2 linked regions of the Notamacropus eugenii genome follow. The protein of the gene in region 2 purifies or fractionates together with the protein of the main gene of each other region. This does not show direct contact. Links are inferred from orthologs where the notes say so. Each region holds a gene or a part of one and is shown on either strand. Other genes may lie near its edges.

Region 1 (7,769 bases), on a different chromosome or scaffold from region 2:
TGACTGGGAAAGAGCACCGTGTCCTTAAAAGTAATGTACCTGGAAAGTTTAGAAAGAATAAAGGTTTTAGGGGAAAGATAATGAGTTAAGTTTTGGACATACTGAGTTTAAGATATCTAAGGGACATCCAGTTTGAGATGTCTGTTAGGCAGTCAGAGATCCCAGTTTGGAAATTAGAAGATAACTGGCTATCTAGGAACTGATGAAATAGTACAGAGAAACAGAAGAGGGCCCAGCAGAGGCTTACAGGACATCTCAGGGGCATGAGCTAAACAAAAATTCAGTAAAGAAGACTGAGGTAGTCACACAGATAGGAGAACCAGGACAGAGCAGAGTAACAAGAAATCTGGAGAAGAGTATTAAGAAGAAAGTTTATCAAAGGCTACAGAGAAGTCAAGAAGGATGAAGATTGAGAAAAAGCCATTAGATCCTACAGTTAAGAAATAATTAGTAATATAGCTAGCTAGCATTTATATATAGCTTGAAGATTTGCAAAGGTGCTCTACAAGTACCTTATTTTGCAAGAACCTAAAACATTCCCATGGACTCTTGAGGCAAAATGCCTTCCACATGCAGAAAAAGAACTATGGAACAGGATCACAGAATGAAGCAGAATATTTTCTCTTCTGTTATGTTTTGGTTTTTCTCACGGTTTCTCCCATTCATTTTAATTCTTCTATGCAACATGACTAAGGTGAAAACGCATTTCATAAAAATGTATGTGTAAAACCCATATAAGATTGCGCACAGTCTCGGGGAGGGAGTGGAGAGAGAGGGGGAAGAAATCTAAGATTTATGGAAGTGATTGTAGAAAACTGAAACAAAGTAATTTAAAAAAACCAAGTACCTTATTTTATCTTCAAACCAACCCTGGGAGATAGGCAGTTTTATACTCCCCATTAAGGCAGGCAGAGAGATGAATTAACTTGTACACACAGCTATTAAGATTCTGAGGTTAGGTCTGAATCAGGTCTTGCTCATTTCCAGGGTCCAGCGCTCTATCCACTGCGCCTCCTGACTTTCCAGGAGCAGTTTCGGTTGAATGAGGTAGGAGGGAGTGCACTTCAGGTACGAAGATGGCTAATACAAAGGCCTTACACATGAAAAGGAGCAAGGACCACAGCGAGTGAGGCTGGAAGGACCAAGCGAGGGCTGGTGGTGAAGGAGCCGCGCCTGGGGCTGAGGCGGAAGCCCACTTCCCGGTGTTCGGGTCCCAGCCCGCTCCAATCACTTCTCTTTTGGTAAGGACGCGATCAGACTTTCCATTTGAGAAGCCATCAGAAAACCAACTAAGTGAGGGGGAACAAAGGGAAATCCTTGTTCTGTGTGCAAGGTGCTGCAAATACACCCCAGGTAAGAACTACCCTCGGGGAACTCGCTCAGTACTGGAGGACTCCAACACACCAACATGGCACACGCAAGTGGGTCTCCGACAAGGGAGGTCTACTCACACGGAGAAGTCCGTTCACAGTGGGCCTCCCACCGGCCCGGCCCAAGCTCCGGGGCTCACTTGACCCCTTCACCAGGCTGACCCTCCGCACCGCGGTCCAGTCCCGGGGCCCGCCCCGCTCCCCACCCTCCCTCCTCCGCGCGCCCCCGGCCCCGGGCGCGCCCCGCCCCCCACCGCCGGCGCGAGGCCCGACCCACACACGAAGCGACCCAGGCCTCAGGCCTCGCGGCCGCTTTCTTCTCCTCGTCCCCCTCCTCCTTCCCTCGCTCCTGGGGAGAGCTCCTCCTCCTCGTCGCGAGCCCCGTCCTCCCCCGCTTCCCCCCAAAACTCAAGGCGTCCGTTTCCGCCTCCTCACCGACCTCCTCACAGAAACAACAGGCGCCTCCCGGCGCTAGCGCCACGAGCCGCTCCGCCGTTATCTTCTTCGCCAGCTCGTCTTACCGACCCTCCGCGCATGCGCGCCACCGCGCCAGCTTCGATCTGCGCACGCGCGCGGCGGGGAAGCCCTCGCAAACTTTATTGACTTTGCCAGGGGAGACGCACCGAACTCAGCCATCAACAAAACTTTATTGCGCGCCGCGGGGGCGCGCTCTGCGGAAAAACTTTATTGGGGCCGCTGGCGGCGAACACGGACAAAACGGAGCCCTAAGGGCGGGGAGGAAGGGAGGAGCGGAGTGGGGAGCGGCGCGGCTGGGCCTGGCGGGCCGCCGGAGGCCGGAGCCGCAGCCCAAGCAGGTTCCCGACTTGGCCGCGGGGCCTCCCACCTCCCTTCGTCGTCAGGATGCGGTACAACGAGAAGGAGCTCCAGGCGCTGTCCCGGCAGCCGGCGGAGAAGGCGGCGGAGATCGGGATGCGGGTCCCCAAGAAGGGCAGCGGTGAGAGCCGAGGGGAGGCCGGCCTGCCTAACCCCCCCCGTCTATGACCCCCCCCAGGATCTCCCTCAGCCCCCCTCACTGAGCCCTCCGCACTCCCCGGGGTCACCCCTGCGTTCAGAGCCTTCCAGACTACCAGCCTTAGCACTCCCTGAATCCCTCCTGTCCGACCCCCCGCTGAGCCCCCCAGGGACACCCCGCGAGTCACCAGGCTGAGCCACCCTGACAGTCCCCTCCCCAGCTTCAGCCCCACCAATGAGCAAACCTGCCAGCCCCTCCTCCAGCCCCCCCAGTCCTGCCAGGGTCCTGTCCATGGTCACAACCTACGGCGCCCCCACTCTGCACCCCCGTGTACATTCTCCCGAGATCCCACGCCCTGTCCCCAAGCCCACTCCACCTCCATCACCTCCCAGGCTCTTCAGCGGAGTCCTGAGGTTACCTCGCAGCGTGTACACAGCCTGTCCCCTCCATCATCCTGTGTGAGGTTCCCAGGATCATACCCCACTGTGCACAGCTTCTCACACTTCCCCAAAGAACTCCTCCCGAACCCCTCCTTCTCTGCTCCAGTGCTACACCACACAGGTCCTCCCATGAATTTCTGTTCCCTAAGTCCTTGAAGTCCTGGGTTCAAATACTGACTGATGTTTGGGCCCCCGGCCCAAGAGTTACTTAACCGTTTAGTTCCCTCCTCTGTAAAACTAAGGCATCACAGGAGAGAGTCTGAGGTTCCTCCTTGCTCTAAATCATTGATCTTGTTCATCTGACTTGCTCCTCCTTTAAACTATTAGCCCCCACCCCCTTTCCCTTCTGAATCCAGAAAAGTTACCCCAGCTTGTATACAGCGTTCTAAGCTCCCAAGTTCTTGCAAAGAAAAATCCCCACCTTGATCTAACCTTTCTGGTTAAACTACTCATGAAGCTGTAAAAATGGAATATAAACATTTGTGGGGAAAAATAATGGCTCCTGAGCTGGCTTTGCAAACACTACCACCACACCTTAAACAAACAGAAATAATGTCACTACCCTCCTAGGTGGCCCTGTAGACAGAGCACTGCACTCTGAATCAGGTGGCAGGAAGACTCATCTTTATGATGATGTCCAGCCTCGGCACTTACTAGCAGTGTGACCCTGGGCAAGTCACTTACCCCTGTCTGCTTCAGTTTCCTCATCTATAAAATGAGCTGGAGAAGGAAATGGCAAACCAGTCCAGTGTCTTTGCCAGGAAAACCCCAGATGGGGTCATGGAGAGTTGGACATGACTGAAATGACTCGACAGAGGAGCAGCAAGAGCCTTCTAGAGCCACAGTCCTAAACAGGTTTCCTTCTTGGAGGTCTGAACCTCCAAGCTCAGCAATCCCCAGACAGAATCTTCCTGTGTAACCTCTCCTTAGGCTCCTCCAAGCCCTCTGCCCCAGAGCCTCCTTGTCTGGCCTCTATACAAGACTCTCCCACCTCAGCCCTTCCAGAGAGAATCCTCTCTCCCAGTCCTTCCTTGGCCCTGTCTTCCCACCGTCCATCCTACTCCACCCAAGGCGGCCTTCTCAGATGGTCCTGCTCCCAACTCTGCCTGGGAATGGGGCTTCTCTTTCTGGAGGGTATTTTTCCTTGGTCTGGATCTTGTCATTACTGATGAGGCTACAGGGGGAGCTGGGACTCAAGGAACTCCCCCGGGTGACTAAGAAGAATCAAGTCAACCCCTAAAATAGCTGTTTTTGGCCCTGCACAGATACTACAGAGTGGTGCTTCCCTCTTTGGAAAGAGAGGAGGGTGTGGTAGGACAGGAATTTGGATTTTTGGATTTTCTCCATGGCATTCCACCTTGTTTTACTTTCCTGTTCTGCCATCCAATCTCCTTAAACTAGTTCAGACTCTGCCCTCCAAGAGGCTTTGTGTTTTTCCCAAAGTTTAAAGGTTAGGGAAATTCTAGTAAAGGATACTGTCATATTTAGGAGGAACCTGAGGACAGGGTAGAAAGGCTGAGGGGAGAAGCCTGGTCTCACCTGGGCTCTGGGCAGGGGTTCTCTGGGATTTCCCTGCAAGTGCCCAACTTCCACATTGTTTTTTGATCTCTCCCCCCAGTGGTGAAACGGAGGCTCGTGAAACTGGTGGTGAATTTCCTCTTTTATTTCCGGACAGATGAAGCAGAGGTAGGAGGATCCTGGGACACAGTCTGTGATAATATAGAATCTCTTCTAAGGAATTTCCCATCCAATATAGCACCATGGAGTTTCTAAGTAGGGGAGACCTTTGTACCTAGAATATTTTGATCTGGAAGAAATCTTAGCAATACTATAGTCTGATTCACAGTGTCAAATATTCGACCCACCACACTCCCGAGTATGGCCCCCTCCAGATTAAAATATAATTGGGAAATATTGAACAAAATAAATAAAAATACAATAGAACATAGATAATGTTACTATATGGTTTTTTAAGTCAATATTTGACCCAGATAGTTTCTTAGGTATGCTATTTCTACTTGAGTTTGACACCATTGGTTAAACCCCAGGAGGTCTTTGATAGATAAGGAAACGGGCAAGAAAGAGTGACTTTCCCAGTGTCACCCATTGAGACAGAGATTGAGCTGGAACATGATCCCAGGTCAGGGCTTTTCCCACCACTGGCTCTTACCACCCACCCTGGTTATTGTATCACAACACAACCAGGGGAACAGGAAGCTTCAGTCCCCAGACGTTACATGACAGGCTTAAAATGTCACAGCCCAGCCATGGCAGAACAAGGACCATCAGCCAACAGGGATTTATCTGCTCAGTGACAGGTACTTAGGCTACAAGGACAGTGAAGGAGACAGCAGCTTGGATTCTGGTGGGGGAGACAAAAAAGTACGTTTGAAATAGAACATGAATAAATGCAAACATATGTCAGATAGTCAATGCACAGTGGTTTGGAGGGAAGTCCCTGGCAAAGGCTTCATGCAGAAGATGGTGATTGAGCTGCATTTTAAGGAAGACAGGGACTCTCCTGGGGCCAGGATGAGGGAGTACATTCCAAGCATGGGGGGGCTTCCAGTGCAAAGGCATGGAGACTGGAGATACAGAAATGTGGAGAACAGATAGTGATCCATAGTGGCTAAATCACAAGAGTGTGGAAAGGAGAGTCATGTGCAACAAAACTGAAAATATAGAATGGAACCAGGTCGGATAGGGCTTTAGAAGTTGAACAAAGGAGTTTATGTCGAACGATAAGGCCACTAGAAGTGGTGAAATAGGGGAATCACACTGGCATTTGAGGAGAATTACACTGGCAAACAGTGTAGAGGGCACACTGTACTGGGGAGTGGTTGGAGGCACAGAATCCAATTTGGAACTGTTTTAATAATTCTGGAGATAATGACAGCCTAAATGAAGGGGGTAGGTTATGAGTAGAGAGAAGGGGTCAGAAAGGAAAGATGTTGTGAAGATAGAAAGGGCAAACTCTGGTGACTGATTAAATATGTGAGATGAGGAGTGAAGAGTCCAGGAGGCTGCTGGGAGACTGGAAGGTTGATGGTACGTTCCACAGACATAGGGAAGGTTTATGACAGGGGTGGGGAACCTTTGGCCTTAAGGCCACATCTGGCTAATTCCTAAGGGGATTTGTCTGTGAAGTTTGGACTCAGTCAAAAGGTCACCCTCAAGGACCTAGAAGGCCACATGTGGCTATAGGCCAAAAGTTCCCCACCCCTGGTTTAGGGCAAGGAGTTCTTGACATTTTTTGTGTTATGGATCCCTTAGAATAATGTTTTTAAGTGCATAATGTAAAATAACAAGATTGCAAAAGAAATCAGCTATAATAGTAAGTTATCAAAATATTAAAAAAAAAGTTCACAGACTCCAGGTTAAGAATCCCTTGTGTGGGGAAAAGATGATGCGTTCAGTTTTAGACCTGCTGGGGTGAAGCTATCCTGGGCATTAGGCAATTGGTAATATGTGAAGCTTGGGAGACATTGGGGCTGATGTATATAGGTGGGAGCCATCTTCAGAATGATGGTAATTAAACCATCTGATAAAGGAGCTAAACACCCACACACTTGGGGGTGTGATATGGATGACAAGCCAACTAAGGAAACTGAGAAGGAGGGGTCAGACAGGTAGGAGGCAAGTCGGGAGTGTTGGGAATATCCAGGAAGAAGGGGTGGTGAGCAGTGTCACATGCAGTAGACGGGTCAAGAAGGATGAGGACAAAGAAAAGAAAATGAAGGGGTCACGGTCCCAGAGTGAGCATCTATGAACAGATAAACAAGTACATAGTTCTTTCTGACTCCACTGTGCTTCGGATATATATTATTTGCCATAGGCAGCCCCTCGTGGAAAGAGCCCTGGAACAGGCTCATAGCACATATGGGAGCCAGAAGAGATCTGAGAAGTCACCTGTTCCAGACCCCTAATTCTTCTGATGAAGAGAGTGAGCCAGAGAGGTTAAGCCACCAGAGAGTAAAGGTCTGAGGCAGGATCGGGCCAAGGCTACACCTTGGAGGCCAACCCAGCCCTTTTCACTGCCTTGGGACTTGCTCTGAGCCCCCATCCCACACAGGCTTCTTTTCTCAGAAGAAATGAGCTTGCAATGAAGTGTGCCATATTCTTCAGGCCTGTGATTATCTGTGCATCCCTGCATCCAGGGATCCTAATTTCCCCGGTTTAGAGCAGGAAGGGGCCTCAAGAGGGCCCAGCACAGTCAGGTGACTTCCCACAGAGGCTATCTCAGGTGACAGAATCAGGATTTGAACCTGGGGCCTCTCCCTCCAGATGGAGTGTGGCATTGTAGCAGCACTGGTTTGGAGGAAAATGAATCTCCCTTCAGGGATTGTGTCCTGGTCTTGTAGGGAGCCACTAGTGACGTGAGACTCACTCTGCTCAAGCCCTCTTTCCTGTTACCCCAGGCTGCCTCATGACAGGGTCTGAAGGGGGCAGAAAGGAGTCACTGGCAGGTGGGGATGATGAACTCAATTCTATTTATACCATCATGATGGGGGGGCATTTCCTGGAGGTTCTACCCAGAAAATTTCAAACCTGGGGGGACTTTTAAGGATGGGTAAATAGGTGAAGCAAAAGGAAATGATTGGCCCAAGGCCCCAGAGCAAGATGAGGGCAGTTCTGGAGCTTTCTCCCTGATCCGTGGCTTCCTTTGAATTTGCTGCATCCCAGCATTCTTGATGAGTCACAGGGTCCATCCAGCTTCACCTCTCGACTTCCATCCTCCCTTCCTTAGGGAAGTGGCCCCTGGAGGATAGACCTGGTACAGAGAGGCCCAAGTCAGTTAGTAATCTACAAGCCTGCTATGTTCTGGGTGCCAGTTGTCAATGGTGTGGCAAAAAGCACACTGATTTTAGACCTGCAAGTCCTAAGTTTCAATCCTAAGTCTGTTACCTGCCAGCTGATTAACCCTTTACAAAGCTCTGGAGAGTTTCCTCTTCTGAAAAATGAGCAGTTTGGGCTAGATGACCTCCA
Region 2 (7,107 bases):
TACTGTAAGCCTTAACCAACCTCTCTTCCTTCCAGGGCTTTCCCTCTTTTCATTATTTCCTTTTTATCCTATGTATAACTTGCTTTCTATGTATTTGTGTGCACGTTTTCTCTCCCTTAAGGGCAGGGATTGTCTTTTGCTTCTTTTTGCATGCCTAGTGATTAGCCCAGTGCCTGGCACATAATGAGCATTTAACAATTGAGAGAGTGTTATTGCTACACAACCACCTTATTAATTCTACCACCCCCCCCCCAATTAATCTTCATAAAACACTTTATAAAGCACACCTTTCATTACAATACTCTCTGACTCATTTTGCAGATGGATCCTGAAGGATGAATTCTTCCCGAGTAAACTGTTAGCTCCTTGCAGGCAGTGATTATGACTTGCATGTTGTTGGTCACTAGGGGGTGCCATAGTGCATGGAGCACTGGGCTGGAAGTCAGGAAGACCTGGGCTCAAATTCAGCCTCAGACACTTACCCAGCTGTGTGACCCTGGGTAGGTCACTTATCCTCTGTTGGCTTCAGTTTCCTCATCTGAAAAAAGGGGATGATAGCAGCATTTACCTCCTAGGGTTGTTCTGAGGATCAAATGAAATAATAATTGCGCAACACCTAACAGCCAGTGTAGTTTAGTTTAGCACTTGGCACACAGTAGGTGCTACATAAATGTGCTTATTCCCTTTCTTTTCCCTTTGGCATCCCCCAGTGCACCTAGAATAGTGGGAAATGTGGAGTAGAGATTTTTTTCTCATCTTTTCATTAAAACAGAATCCCACTTAAACTAAATGTCCCACCAGAATCCTGGCCGTGTCCATATGCATGTATGTGGGTGCTTCTCGTGATGCTCTCTCTGACTTTGTTTCTTCTCTTATTTCTTGCTTTCCATTTTCTTCTTCTTCCCTTTAGTCTTTCTGTCTCTGCCTCTTGACCAGCCTACTAAATCTCTACTCTGCATTTAGCACAGTTATTTTTTTTTAAATTAGGATGAAGGTATATTAGGTGGGAAAAAAAAGAAACTGAGGTTCATCCGGACAAATGGTTTATTTATTTAGCAATGCATGGGATTGCAAAACAAACCGGGTCCAAGACTCTAGGTAAACCAAGGACCCCTAGGTTTGGTTTCTATGAAGTTAATATACAATTTGAACAGAGTGGAAAAAATGAAAAATAGGATTATTGGGATTAAGACATCTGGTTTCTTACTAGTAGAGAGTGAGAAATTCAAATTAATTCCACCTTGTAACTGATTCTATACTGTATTGATTTTTACAATTGAGTCTGCATCTGCCTAAAGCCACCTAGGTCCTTGAGATGAGCTGAGGAATTCTGATTTCCCTCTGAGTCACTTTAAAGTTATAATTAAAAGAAAAGTTGTCATCTTTCATACTGGTAGACCTTAGGATACTTCCAGGACATCCAGGACATCTGTTTGTTATCTTTAAGCTTCACAAGTTAACTTGGTACCATCCTCAAAAGATGTGTCATCTGTCCTTGCCTTTCCTTGAACAATTAGGAGAGTTTTGTCTCTTCCAAGGAGTTAGCAACCCTAACCCTAAATGCTCATTGGTAGCTTTGATCCCTTAGCAAAGATTATAAGATGGGGAGGGGTCCCATAAAACATTTAACATTCCTCAATTGTTTGAAAGGGGTGGCTACTAGTCCCACATAAATGCTAGCCTGATTTCCTTGATACAGTCTCTCATGTTGTCTCCATGGCCACAAGGCTGTTTATCAGTAACCAATCACATTGTCTTCCCCAACTACCCAATGCTGTACTTCTCCAAACTAAATGAAGGCTGGCAAGCCCTACCTAGGGGTCTTTGGTTATTGAGAGGCCATTGATTCAATGTATTGGATGCTGTTACCCTAATAAATTGGTGATGTTGGGAATCTTATCTCTCAGTTTACCTTTATTTCCAAATGTAATAAGGATATCAGGAGACACTGAGGTGAGAGGGAGAAGGGGAGTTTTGTGATATTTCTTAAGTTGGGGGACCTTTGGGAGAGGGAGAAATCTTGTGACTTCTTCAAAATCCAGAATGTGACTTTACAAACAGCTGAAACTTTAGCTTCACAAAATGGTGGGTAAGGGAAAAAATGGAATCATGAATGCTATTTTTTTTTTAATATAACAGGTACCAGCTCTAAGTTCCCTGACCCAATGTTGGTGTTAATCCTTCAGTTTTGAAGAGTCTTGACTTATTCATGAACAGAATTTAAGTGAGGCTGAATTGCATAAAGTCACCAGCCTCACTCTCCCAGAGTCATCCAAGTCCAGTGGCAAAACAAAAGTCTGAACGACTGGGGATGATCCAGGATGACGTTGGCGTCTTTGATGTCTGACCAAACTCTAAGCCCTCCACATTGTATACTTCAGCCACCTTCATGGCTGTTGGAACAAATTGTTCTCATCTACCCATTCCTCCAGAGATAGTTTTCACAAGCTTGGGCTAAACATCCTCCTAATTCATTGACAGGTTTGAGGTCTGTCAGTTACCCTCAATCTGGTTTAGCCTGTCTACTGAAACTTTATCCAGCCCTGAAAAGTGGTTAGTAAGCCCTGCCACCACAGGTGCTCATCCTCCTGAATACCCCATACACCTCCGACCCCATGAAACAGTCATAGAATGTCAGAGCCACAAGGGATCTAGTCCCAACTCTCCCCACTCACTTATGATGTTCCATCTCTGGTCTCTGTACAAACTATCCCTCCTTGCCTACTCATTGCGCATTCCTAGCTCCTAGAACCCCAGTTCCTTCCAGATGAAACTCAAGCAACAGCTCCTTCAACAAGAAGCATTTCCTGATCTCTCTAGTGGGGTCATTCCTTAAACCACCCTGCATGGTTGTATATATTCTATATGTGCTTATATAGGTGTACGTGGTCACCCTTGATAGAATTGCCCAGTACTTGGCTAAGTAATCAGGGTAGTCAGCATTCATACAGCATCTGAAGGTCTGCAAACTGCTTTACCCATATTAATTCATCTGATCATCATATCAACTCTGGGAGGTAGGTGCTGTTATGACTTCCATTTTACAGATGAGGGAAGTGAGGCAAACAAAAATTTAAGTGACTTGTCCAGGTTTGAACTCCAGTTTTCCTGACTTCAGGTCTTGCTGTTTTAACTTAAATACTTGTTGGTAGTTTGATTACTGTGAGAAAAGGGTTCTGGAAACCTTATAGAGGAGCTATATTATTATTTTACACAAGAAGAAACTAGCTACTGGGAGAGCTGGGACTCCAGAGAGCTGGAACAAGTAGATCTGTGTCTACCATGCGTCCCTGGGAGAAATGAAAATCAGGACATGGAGAAAAGAGAAAGCCCGGAGACACCGGGAGAGGCAGCCATGGAGACAAGAGACAGTCTACACTCACCAAGCGTGCTCCTACGGGCAGGTCACCTTGAGCCTCAGTTTCCCCAGCTTTAAAACTGGGATAACGAAGTCCACAGTTCCTACCTCGCCTGGGTGTTGAGGTTCTAAAGCGATAATGCCCTTGCCAAACCTTAAAGCGCAGGCACATTCCCGATTGCTCCATCCTTTTCATCCTCATCATCACAGTTTCTATTTATTATCCTCAGGGTGGCTGCTTTGGTTTGTTGAGTGGGACCTGTGATTTCCTAACCAGGTAAACTCAAGGTACCTGGCCGGATCCGCACCTGGTCCAGGGGCACTAAGGAATTGGACCCAGGTCTTCTGAGGTCCACGGTCAGCCCTATGGCCAGCTTTAGGGTTCTGACTACGGGTCTGGAGGAATCAAAAAACCTTTGCATACGTTTCATTTGCATAAATTATGCAAATCAGTGTAATACCTACATATTTGCATGAAAGCCGCTGTTCAGGGCCACCTCAAAGATCGGGGCGGGGCCAGAGCTTCTCCGAGCTGGGAGAGCGCGAGCGTGGGGAAGGCGGGGCTTATCCTCAGAGCTTCCCGCCCCCTTTCTGGGGCCAAGCCACTCTAACGTCTCGACCCGCCTCCTTCATCCGGATGCTTGGCGACTATTGGCTATGACCAACCTCCATCTTCTTCGACCGACACCGATTGGATACTAGTTTCTTTCCCCCCCACCCCCTCCTCGGTAGCTCCTTGCGCATTTCCGGGCGTTGGGAACGTGAGGCGGACGTGGGATTGCCGCCATTGCGTTTTCGTAGAAACTGCAAAGTGACTGCCGGGTGCTGTGGGGTAAGCAAAGGGGAGTAAAGGGCTGATGGCGCATGGCTGGTCAGGACAGGGGCGCGCGGGAAGGGATGGTTGGTACAAAGAGGTGAAGGAGAAATGGAGGGGGCGGGGGGGGGGGTGATGCTGGGGGAAGTGGCTGCAGTGTGAGGGAGGGAGCAACGCATGCGCAATGAGGTGGCGGGAGCGCGCGGGGCCGAGCATCTGGGAAGGGATGCGCAGTAGGCATGCGCAATGAAGCAAGGCCCCTGAACGAGGCTAGAAGGGGATATCAGGGTGAAAGGGGTAGAATGGGGCGCATGTGCAGTGGGAGGGAACGTATGGAGTCGAGGCTGTCCGGGTGAAGGGAGCAGGGTCGTGGTGAGGGGCAGTCTAAGGGAGAAGCCCCTTGGGGGTAGGCCGGGCTCCCTTGAGCGCTGCAGGCGGTGCTGATGAAGGCCTTGGGGGGTGGGGGGGCCCTGAGGACGGTAGGGGAGCTGCCGAGCGCACCCAGAGGTGCGGACCCGAGGTCCGTGAAGGGGACGATGCAAGAGGGCCAGCCAGGAGGTCTAGCGATGGGGGGATGGGAGGGGAAGCTTGGGGAGGGCGATCGAGCCACGACCCAGGCTCCCACTGCGGGTGGACACAGCCAAGGGGTCAGGAATGGGGGAGGGAGGCGGGGAAGGCACAGGAGTGAGAGGAGGGGTGGCAGGGAAGACCAGGGGGTCGCATTCATGTTAATATGAGTGTAGAGACCTGGGCATGGTTGCGGAAAGGCCCTAGAGAGTTTCCAGATTGCCCTTACCCTCCTTTGTGGTCATTTAGAGAGACTTTACTGAGTTCCATTACTATTCCCCAGGTTCTCCGGACATGGCCGGAGTGTTTCCCTACAGAGGGCCGGGTACCCCTGTGCCCGGCCCTCTGGCACCACTGCCCGACTACATGTCAGAGGAGAAGCTTCAGGAGAAAGGTGAGAGGTCTGGGAGAATTAGGCTGGGAAGTGGGGTGCTGCTTGGATCAGGTCCCCTGGGCACGCTCCCTCAGTATTCCCTGAGAATTCAGGTTCTGGCCTGTTGCTCTCATTCTTGTGAAAGAAAGCATTCTCTGCAGACCTATCGGGAAAGCATTTAGGAGTGGCACCTTGGGACTGGGGATGCTCACATGGGGTAGACAGTGATACAGTCTGGGTTTCCTCTCCAGCCCGAAAATGGCAGCAGTTGCAGGCAAAACGCTATGCAGAGAAGCGGAAATTCGGATTTGTAGATGCACAGAAGGAAGACATGCCTCCAGAGCATGTCAGGAAGATCATCCGTGACCATGGGGACATGACCAACCGGAAGTTCCGTCATGACAAGCGAGTCTACCTGGGGTGAGGAGATCCAGGGCTTAGAGAGATGTGAAAAAAGCAGAAAGATTGTTATTCCCTGAGAGTCCCAAGCAGCTGCCAGTTTGGGCTTGGTTGGATCATTGTCCTCATAAAACTGTGATTGTATCCCCAGGCTGTTTGATATTTTTATTTCTGCCCGTGATTGCTGCCCTCCTTTCTGACTGTAGATTGGAGTCCTGGACAACCCTTCTGGATAACACTTGTATGAGTAGTGCCATTCTTAATGCCCTTTGAGGGAGGGAGCTCCAGCAAACCCAAAAATTTACATTCTGTAGTTGCATTGTTGCATGAATTTTTTCTGTCATTTTAGGCCCAGAGTTCTCCTCTGTTCTGGCATACCCGAAAGTATGAATTCTTTTAAGGTATCCAGAACATAGAAACAGTAAAGCTGGTTGCCTCAAGTTCTCTTGTTCCTTTTACCTTCTCTGCTTCTGAACTCTAAGCTGGAGGCTGGATGGGTGGAGGGACCAAAACTTTAACAAATCACTGCCTCCACTAAGAAACAGAGAAACTGACAGTGTGATCACCTAGCCATGGGAGTTTTGGAGTTGCCAGGGCAATTGATTTCTGGAAAAATATGACTTGCATGGAACAGTGTAGTATTTGGGATAGGGAACAGAGAGCATCATGGGAGTACTGATTTTCTGTCACCCTCTGATTACCCAATGCCACAGTGCCCTGAAGTATATGCCTCATGCTGTCCTCAAGCTCTTGGAAAACATGCCCATGCCCTGGGAGCAGATTCGGGATGTGCCTGTTCTCTACCACATCACTGGAGCTATTTCCTTTGTCAATGAGATTCCTTGGGTCATTGAGCCTGTCTACATCTCTCAGTGGGGGTAAGGAAGACTGGGGGATGCTTGGGTTCTAGAGGTTGTCTCTTTGTTCTCTTCTGGGATTCTGATTGTGATGTGGCTCACCCCAGGTCCATGTGGATCATGATGCGCCGAGAGAAGAGGGACAGACGGCACTTCAAGCGCATGCGTTTCCCCCCATTTGATGATGAGGAGCCACCCCTTGACTATGCTGACAACATCCTAGATGTGGAGCCTTTGGAAGCCATTCAGCTGGAACTGGACCCTGAGGAAGATGCCCCTGTGCTCGACTGGTTTTATGACCACCAGCCCCTAAGAGACAGCAGGAAGTGAGTTCCCACAGGCTCAGATCAATAGACCAGACTCAGCTGGCAGGAGTTGTTGGTCCTCTTTGGGTCTGTCGAAGAGAGATTGGCTTTAGGAATGAATGCTATGGCCTGAGTAGCTGCTATTGGTTTCCCACTTTTGCCCCCCTTGTTTCCAGGTACGTGAATGGCTCCACTTATCAGCGCTGGCAATTCACTTTACCCATGATGTCTACTCTTTACCGCCTGGCCAATCAACTCCTAACTGACCTTGTGGATGACAACTACTTCTATCTATTTGACCTGAAGGCCTTTTTCACCTCAAAGGCCCTCAACATGGCCATCCCAGGGGGCCCAAAATTTGAACCACTGGTCCGAGACATCAATCTTCAGTAAGTGTCCTTAAAAAGAAGGGCTTGCAGGGTCCCTGGTTTGGG

What was found.
Region 1: the proteins of PRPF8 (region 2) and SF3A2 purify together in Homo sapiens (affinity purification with mass spectrometry; 3 studies listed by BioGRID and IntAct, with this or other methods). This does not show direct contact. The link is inferred for Notamacropus eugenii from reciprocal best matches to the Homo sapiens genes PRPF8 and SF3A2.

Annotation. Positions count from the first base shown.
Region 1 is NC_092875.1:64,094,155-64,101,923, forward strand, and holds the start of SF3A2 (splicing factor 3A subunit 2), read right to left. Parts: upstream 3,017-7,769; 5' UTR 2,762-3,016; intron 2,326-2,761; coding exon of another isoform or gene 2,232-2,325; exon of another isoform or gene 2,064-2,231; intron 2,031-2,063; exon of another isoform or gene 1,810-2,030; intron 1,579-1,809; exon of another isoform or gene 848-1,578; intron 1-847. Other genes in the region: PLEKHJ1 (pleckstrin homology domain-containing family J member 1), read left to right, coding at 2,232-2,325, 4,402-4,469. UniProt on the Homo sapiens protein: Component of the 17S U2 SnRNP complex of the spliceosome, a large ribonucleoprotein complex that removes introns from transcribed pre-mRNAs.
Region 2 is NC_092873.1:39,717,315-39,724,421, reverse strand, and holds the start of PRPF8 (pre-mRNA-processing-splicing factor 8), read left to right. Parts: upstream 1-4,096; 5' UTR 4,097-4,190; intron 4,191-5,022; 5' UTR 5,023-5,033; coding exon 5,034-5,133; intron 5,134-5,363; coding exon 5,364-5,532; intron 5,533-6,224; coding exon 6,225-6,389; intron 6,390-6,475; coding exon 6,476-6,694; intron 6,695-6,849; coding exon 6,850-7,062; intron 7,063-7,107. UniProt on the Homo sapiens protein: Plays a role in pre-mRNA splicing as core component of precatalytic, catalytic and postcatalytic spliceosomal complexes, both of the predominant U2-type spliceosome and the minor U12-type spliceosome.